Nothobranchius furzeri: one gene and its partner. The protein of the gene in region 1 purifies or fractionates together with the protein of each later gene. This does not show direct contact. Links are inferred from orthologs where the notes say so. Each region holds a gene or a part of one and is shown on either strand. Other genes may lie near its edges. The genes, in order: pdpk1b and sdc2.

Evidence for each region.
Region 2: the proteins of pdpk1b (region 1) and sdc2 purify together in Homo sapiens (affinity purification with mass spectrometry; 4 studies listed by BioGRID and IntAct, counting the BioPlex papers as one, with this or other methods). This does not show direct contact. The link is inferred for Nothobranchius furzeri from reciprocal best matches to the Homo sapiens genes PDPK1 and SDC2.

The regions. Positions count from the first base shown.
Region 1 is NC_091756.1:32,805,340-32,808,683, forward strand, and holds the end of pdpk1b (3-phosphoinositide-dependent protein kinase 1), read left to right. Parts: intron 1-27; coding exon 28-103; intron 104-178; coding exon 179-247; intron 248-779; coding exon 780-876; intron 877-990; coding exon 991-1,164; intron 1,165-1,463; coding exon 1,464-1,672; intron 1,673-1,791; coding exon 1,792-1,849; intron 1,850-2,036; coding exon 2,037-2,189; intron 2,190-2,303; coding exon 2,304-2,417; 3' UTR 2,418-2,646; downstream 2,647-3,344. UniProt on the Homo sapiens protein: Serine/threonine kinase which acts as a master kinase, phosphorylating and activating a subgroup of the AGC family of protein kinases.
Region 2 is NC_091759.1:26,361,877-26,365,794, forward strand, and holds the start of sdc2 (syndecan-2), read right to left. Parts: upstream 2,980-3,918; 5' UTR 2,943-2,979; intron 2,806-2,942; exon of another isoform or gene 2,735-2,805; 5' UTR 2,612-2,734; coding exon 2,552-2,611; intron 1-2,551. UniProt on the Homo sapiens protein: Cell surface proteoglycan which regulates dendritic arbor morphogenesis.

The DNA of each region.
Region 1 (3,344 bases):
TCATCCTTAAAATTTCCTTTTTTGCAGCGAGGGCAAACTCCTTTGTTGGAACAGCACAATATGTGTCTCCAGAGCTGTTGACTGAAAAATCCGCCTGCAAGAGGTAGAACCGTTTGTGTTCTGGTTATTCAAATTTCAGGTTTCACTTCTGTAAGTGAATCATTCTTTTTTCTCCAAGCTCTGACCTGTGGGCCTTGGGATGTATAATCTATCAACTGGTGGCTGGTTTACCACCATTCAGAGCAGGGTGAGTACTGATGGGATACTTCTGTAATGGTATTGCAATGTTTCAAAGTGCTTCATGGCATACCTAAATGTTTTTCGAGACTTAATTTACTATTAAAATGTTTTCCTAAACACTTGTTTATTTTTTCTAAAGTACATCTGAAACACTTTGGCACCCACATTTAATCTGTTTCTCAGTGACCTCTTCTGTCACTGAGGTGGTTTGGTTAAGCGTCTGAGCCACACGGCGATTCTCGTGAATAGGAAGCTAAACTGGTTCTTTTCTTTAATTAAAACTAAAACGCAAGCTGTTTTTATACTGCAGGTGGTACAAATGTCCCTGGTAATAAAATGTTTTGGATGATCATTTTTAAGTCAGTTCTTCCAACGCATACGAACAATTCTGAACTTGATAGAGTTTTTAAAACCTTATCAGCAGGCAGGAACTGGTATTTAGGATTCATTTGTTTTGAAATTGTTGTGCAACAAGTGCTAAGAGCAAATTACTTGTTTTATTATTTAATTTGTGATTCTTCTTCTTTCTCACATTATAGAAACGAGTACCTAATATTCCAGAAGATAATAAAATTGGAGTATGAATTTCCAGAGAAGTTCTTCCCCAAAGCCAAGGATCTTGTTGAGCAACTTTTGGTCGGTTATCCACCACAGCCGTTTTACTTCTACCTCGGCCCCTTTGTTGTCTGGGGGCAGATGTGCTAGTTTTGGGGTTTTATTTAGTTGTTGTCTGATCTGTTTGCTCTTTAGTCACTGGACCCCTCCAAGCGGCTTGGATGTGAAGAGATGGGAGGGTACGGCCCACTGCAGCATCATCCTTTCTTCGACACCATTTCCTGGAGCGACCTACACCTCCAGACACCCCCTAAGCTTACGCCCTACCTGCCAGCTATGTCAGAAGATGACGAGGACTGCTATGGAAATGTAAGATATACCCCCCCCCAGTCCTAAGTAGTTTTTTTTTAATCATTCCTTTTATGCCTGGACCACACTGTACAATTTTCGGTCGTCTTAGCCAAATCATGCTCTGCTGGAGCGGGACGTCCTGCAGTCTGCCTACCTTGTACCGTAAAGCGTGCCATCTTTCTGGAGTCCTCACCGTGTGACATGAGCAATCCTGTGTGATGGCCAAAAAGCACACAGTGTGGTCCCGGCTTTAAGGACATTGCAAACTGTAAATCTGACTTTTGTTCTTTCATCCCTTGTTGCATCATGAATCTCAGTACGATGACCTCCTGAGCCAGTTCAGCAACATGCAGGTGGCCCCTTCACACTCCTTGTCGCCACTCGACCCCACACCGCCACAAAGATCCAGCAGCAACATTGAACAGTACATCCACGACCTGGACAACAACTCCTTTGAGCTAGATCTGCAGTTCACTGATGAAGAAAAGAAACTATTGCTGGACAAACAGACTACTGGGAACGCCTGGTAGTTTCCGTTTTTGTCTTGCTTTGAAAAGTTGTTTGCTGTCAGACTTGGCTCATCTTCAAGAAATGTGAAAGGAGTTATGATGGCTCAACCATGCACGCTTGTGTTTGTTTACACAGGCACCAGTTTGTAGAGAATAATCTGATCCTCAAAATGGGCCCAGTGGATAAACGCAAGGTCGGTGGGATTTCTATGTCTTATGATTAACTGTTTGCACAAGTCTGGCTTTAACCCTAAACTTTTATCAGGGAACTCTTTGCTCTGGTTGTTGAACCTCTTGCATTGTGCTGAGGAAAGCCCTACAGGCCCCGCGGCCCCCTCTGTTGGTGAACTCATGTTTTGAAATGTTTGCATTCCGTGCCAGGGTCTGTTTGCTCGCCGGAGACAGCTGCTCCTCACTGAAGGACCACACCTGTACTACGTGGATCCTGTCAACAGAGTCCTGAAAGGGGAGATTCCTTGGTCCTTAGAGTTACGCCCAGAGGCCAAGAACTTCAAAACCTTCTTTGTTCACACGGTAAACAAAGATTTATTTCGGAAGTCTTGCAAATATTTCTCCAGCAGCCTGCTCATACTTGCTCATTGTTTGGAGTCTCGTCACACATGTTTTTCTTTCTCTTTTGGTGTTTAGCCAAACCGAACATACTATTTGATGGACCCCAGTGGAAATGCAGACAGATGGTGCAAGAAGATCCAAGAAGTATGGAGAAAGATCTATCAAAGGCACCAAAACCCTGGCCTATAGGAGCACATTTCATCCTGTGCCCACTCCCTTTTAGCTCTGAGGCCAATCACTGAGCAGAGTAACACCCTCTTTAGTGCCCTTCATCACCGCATTGTAAACAAACTCTTAGAGACGCTGGCATCTAGATCTTGTTTGTTTTCCTGAGTAGATCCAGGGGAGAAACACAGCTTTGGATTCAGGGTTGCTTTGCTTGTTCTTTGTGCTCTCTGTGAGGCTTCTCTTGCATATTTTTTCCCATGTATGGATGACAAGATTTCCATTATTCACATCTGCATTTTGTACATTCTGCTTGGCAGGGACAGAGATGGGCAAGCTTGTCTTGTACAGTGACACAAGCTTGGGTACTGCTAGGACCATCCCAAATACAAAGACTGGTTTCCTGCTTCATCGATAAAACAAAATCTAGCTTTTATGAACTGGAGCCTGATTATATATCTTAATTAAACCATATCCATAATCATACACAATATGTGCAAGCTGTAGAAAAGCCCAACTTTTAGTGCGTGTACTCCATATTTGTAACAGATACTGTAAACTGATTCAGTTTCACCTTTATCCAACTCAAACCTCACTTTTGTCTGAACCCAATGCGTATTTAAGTTTTTGCTTTTTCATGTCCTTTTCCAATCTCTTGGTACTTGCTTATTGCAGTCCAGTAAAGGTGTCAGTGTAACGAAGCAGATCTGCAGTAAAGTTGGCCTGGACTAGCATGTAAGGGTGAGCCATTCATAGCTGATGCTGAAGATGTTTTTGTTAACGGGGCATAAACACGCCACTAGCTTGTTCTGCTTAAATCATCACTTGCTTATTTTTCCAGCATGGCCAGTTTTGTAACTCATCTTTGTTCGCTTTTTTCTTGGGGCACTGGAGATAGTGTTTTATTTTATTTTTAAGTTTAAAGGTGGGTATTTTTTAACTGCATTGGCA
Region 2 (3,918 bases), on another chromosome or scaffold:
ATGCACCATGCACCGGAACACCGAGCTGCACCGGAACACGGACCTGCACCGGAACACGGAGCTGCACCGGAATACCGAGCTGCACCGGAACACGGAGCAGAGTCTCACTGGTTTTCAGTGGGGGGTGGAGCCTAAAAGCCCAAACAGAAACCAGTTTGGGTCAGGATCACAGGAAAAACATCCAGCGGTACTGATCTCCGTCACCCTCCCAGAATAAATGATCCCCTCTAAAGACGGAGCTGTGACCTTTGACTTTTACCTCTGAGATTCTGTCACAGCTCCCGGAGTTTCCACGCTGTCACCTGTTTGGTGTCATAGACCTGTCAGAGACCAGAACCATGAATGTGTTCCATTAAATCAGTCAAATCCAGACGTTCTGATCCATTAATAACCAACCGGACCGGATTCAGCCAGCTGAGTTCTGCTGGATCATGAAACTCGACCCGAGCGTCTAACCGCTGTTAGCTCACTCGTTCCTGCACCGTGAGTCACCGTCTGGGTCTGGACCCGGCCCGCTTTCTGTGGTCAGAGTTCAGACAGCCGAGCCTGCGATGTCAGAAGCAGCGGCGGCGGCTGGTGGAAGCCAGCCCACTGTTGGTCTCGTTTGGCTTTGATGTGGACCAGGCTGAGAGCTGGTCTTCACCCAAACATCTCACACTTCCTCATGGCCCACCTGGGATGTGGAGGCGGTCCAGGTCTAGACAGGACGGGACAAACTCCACCTTCTGAATATTCATGAGCTGCTGATTACAGCCCTGACATCAGCAGACTCAGGAAATTCCATGTGGAATTACTTCTGCGGGTCAGGAGTTCGGCTCCGGAGAACGGATCTGAACACTCAGCTGTTTCCTCTCGTGATGATAACCCGGATCCATCCAATGGTCATGTGACCCTGAGGTCATGTGACTCTAACGAACCGAACTTGAACATGCCACAGACCGTTCACTGAACATCTACTCCAAGCTAACTGGTTTACACTGGTTTGAAATCAACTGGTTTCTGCTGCCGACCAGAACCAGAGAACCAGGAGGATCTGTAGGAACCAATCAGAGAGCAGCATTTAGTCCAGCTTCATAACTAAGGAACGTTTAGATCCAGGAACTCTACTTCCCCTCTGGGATTAATAACGTATCTTTGAATTTTAATGTATTCTGTTAAAAATCACAGAACCGGGATCAGCGGGTCAGAACCAGAACCAGCGGGTCAGAACCAGAACCAGGATCGCTGCATCCGTTCTGGTGAACTGTCGGGTGTAAAGTATTCCTCCAGTGAGACGGAGATCAGCTGATGGGAAAACCAAACAGCTGCTTCCAGATGTTGACACGAACAAACAGGAGCCTTCGTCTCCGATCCGATGGAAAATAAAAGCTTCTTCCTCACAAACAAATGTAAACAAATGAGCAGGTCACCACAGCTGCTCCTCCTCCTCCTCCTGAAACAGGAGCAGTAAAACCAGGAGAACCTAACGAGTTTCTACTGCAGCAGTTCTCACAACATAATCAGAAGAAAGCATTAAACCGACCCGACACCAGAACCCAAACACACAGACCTGAAACACGCGAATAATCCCAACAAACAACAACAACAACAACCTGTTTGTGAGTCTGAGCGAGTCAGCAAAGGTTCCTGCCAAAATAAAAGCCTCCCAATCAGCATGACAGAAGGGAGGTGGGGGGATGGTGTGTGTGTGTGTGTGTGTGTGTGTGTGTGTGTGTGTGTGTGAAAAAGACCTACAGATTCAGATGGAGACCCAAATGGCTTCCAGATGTTCCATCTGAGCTGGGTTCTGGTTCTGGACCTAAAACCTAGAACTTGATCAGGTGTTGATTATTTATTTCACTTCCTGTTTGTGGTTGGGTGTAAATATCCCTTGTTTCAGATTGAGCGGTACCAGCGAATCGGACCTCATCATTGCCTCCCACCGTGCTCAGAGTCCAGTATCAGCCAAGGCAGACCAGAACCAGAACCAGAACACCTCTGAACCACTTCCATTACTGCCAGTTGGTTCTTCGCTGTAGAATAACCAAACAACCAGTCCGTGTGGGTTCAGGGCAGAACCGTACCATCTGGGTTGAGACAGAACCATCAGCCTGAAGTATAAACCCGGGGTCAAAGTTCACCCTGAGAGCTCCAGAGGGGACGCACCGCACCCAGATGATGTCACGAATTAGAACCATAGAGTCCGATGTGTTCCTCACTATTTAGAACACACACGCGCGCGCACACACACACACGTTCTGTGGAGGTGACTTCACATTCAACAGTGACATTAAAACATGGAATTAGATCTGAGGAAGAGGAGGCTCTGAGCAACAAGTCAGAGCATCAGTGATGAAGAGTAACACACACACACACACACACACACACACACACGCACACACACACAAGCTCTGTAACACAGCGCGTGCACTGCACACTGTTGTCACATTCTACCCACAGCAACTTAGACCCCCCCATACCCCCCCCCCCCCCCCCGTGTGAAGCCTGCCGAACCCCCAGTGGCTCCGCGGACCCGCAGGAACTTTTTACCGGGCCGCGGCTCCGGACTCACCGAGCCTCCGCAGAAGAAGCCGCTCAGCGCGACGCTCAGAAGGATCCAGCCGCTCCTCATCGTCGCTGCTCGGTTGAGGTTCGGGTCCGGTATTCCTGCAGCTCCCGGAGCTCCCGTTCCTCAGGGTCCACCGGATTCTGGACTCCTCCTCCTCCTCGCAGCTTTTCAGCTCGGAGAATCTGACTGAGACAAATGAGCGCGTGAGTGTGCAGATCCTCCGCAGCACAAATCTGCACGAGACACGTCGCTCGCTCCTTGTGCGCACGCACTGAGCACGAGCACAACCGTGCGCGCTCATGTGAGTTACAATCAGACGTAGGGGGAGTAGCGAGCACGAGCCAACAACAAGTAAACAAACAAAGTAAATGCAGAAGAAAGAAACATAAATAACCTGCTCCAATCAGCTGATCAGGGACAAGCTCCGCCTCATTAAACAACCGGCGGAAGAAGCGGCGCGCTGAGTGGGTGGAGCTTGTAATCCAACACCTCCTCTCAGGAGATAAACTCCTCCTCCGTGTGTATCTCCGCTTCCAGCCGGATCGCATCGCGGCTGAGCGAATAGGAGCGGACCCTGGTTGTGAGGCTGCCGTCGCACCATCACGGACAAAGTCTCCCCCTGCCGGTGAAAACCCGGAACTTCAGCAGAACCGGGTCAGCTGTAGGAGAACCTAAAACAGGTTTTCATAAGGAGCAACCCACCCTGGACCTTCACCAGTCTGCCTGCAGAACCAGCAGAGGATGCCATGTCCCCCCCCCCCCCCCCCCCCCACACACACACACACACCGGTCTGCTACATCTGGAACAGCAGGAACACACACATGCTGATGGTGGACTAACTGTTCTGTTCCTCAGCCTCCTCCACAGAGGCAGAGAAGCTAAGATGACCGAAGACCACCTTACTACAGATCTGCTGCTCGCGCCGCAGTGTGTGTGTGTGTGTGTGTGTGTGTGGTACAGCAACTGTACTCCCTAAGAGAAAAAAGCTCTTCACAGGGTCATCAGGGCTGGACCCTCCTCACCCTGAAAGACACCAACATCTCCTGTTGCTGCTGGAGAGCTACGAACATCTCACAGGACCATCACACCCAGGGCAGTGCCTCTTCCAGCTTCTGCCACCAGGGCACAGATCCATCATGGTTACCCAGGAGCAACCACGGCTCGGAACCGCAGGAACCATCCTCCTGATGGACACAGAGGAGGAACCTGCAGAGAGTCCTTACACACCTGTCTACTCTGGACCATATTCCTCTGATCCTGCCTCCAGCAGGTTAAGGTGTGACTTTCTATCCTGTGGAGCCAGAGAGTTTCCATGGTAACCACATTCAAACACATTCCTCTAAAGTGGTAAACTTTGTTATCATTGATC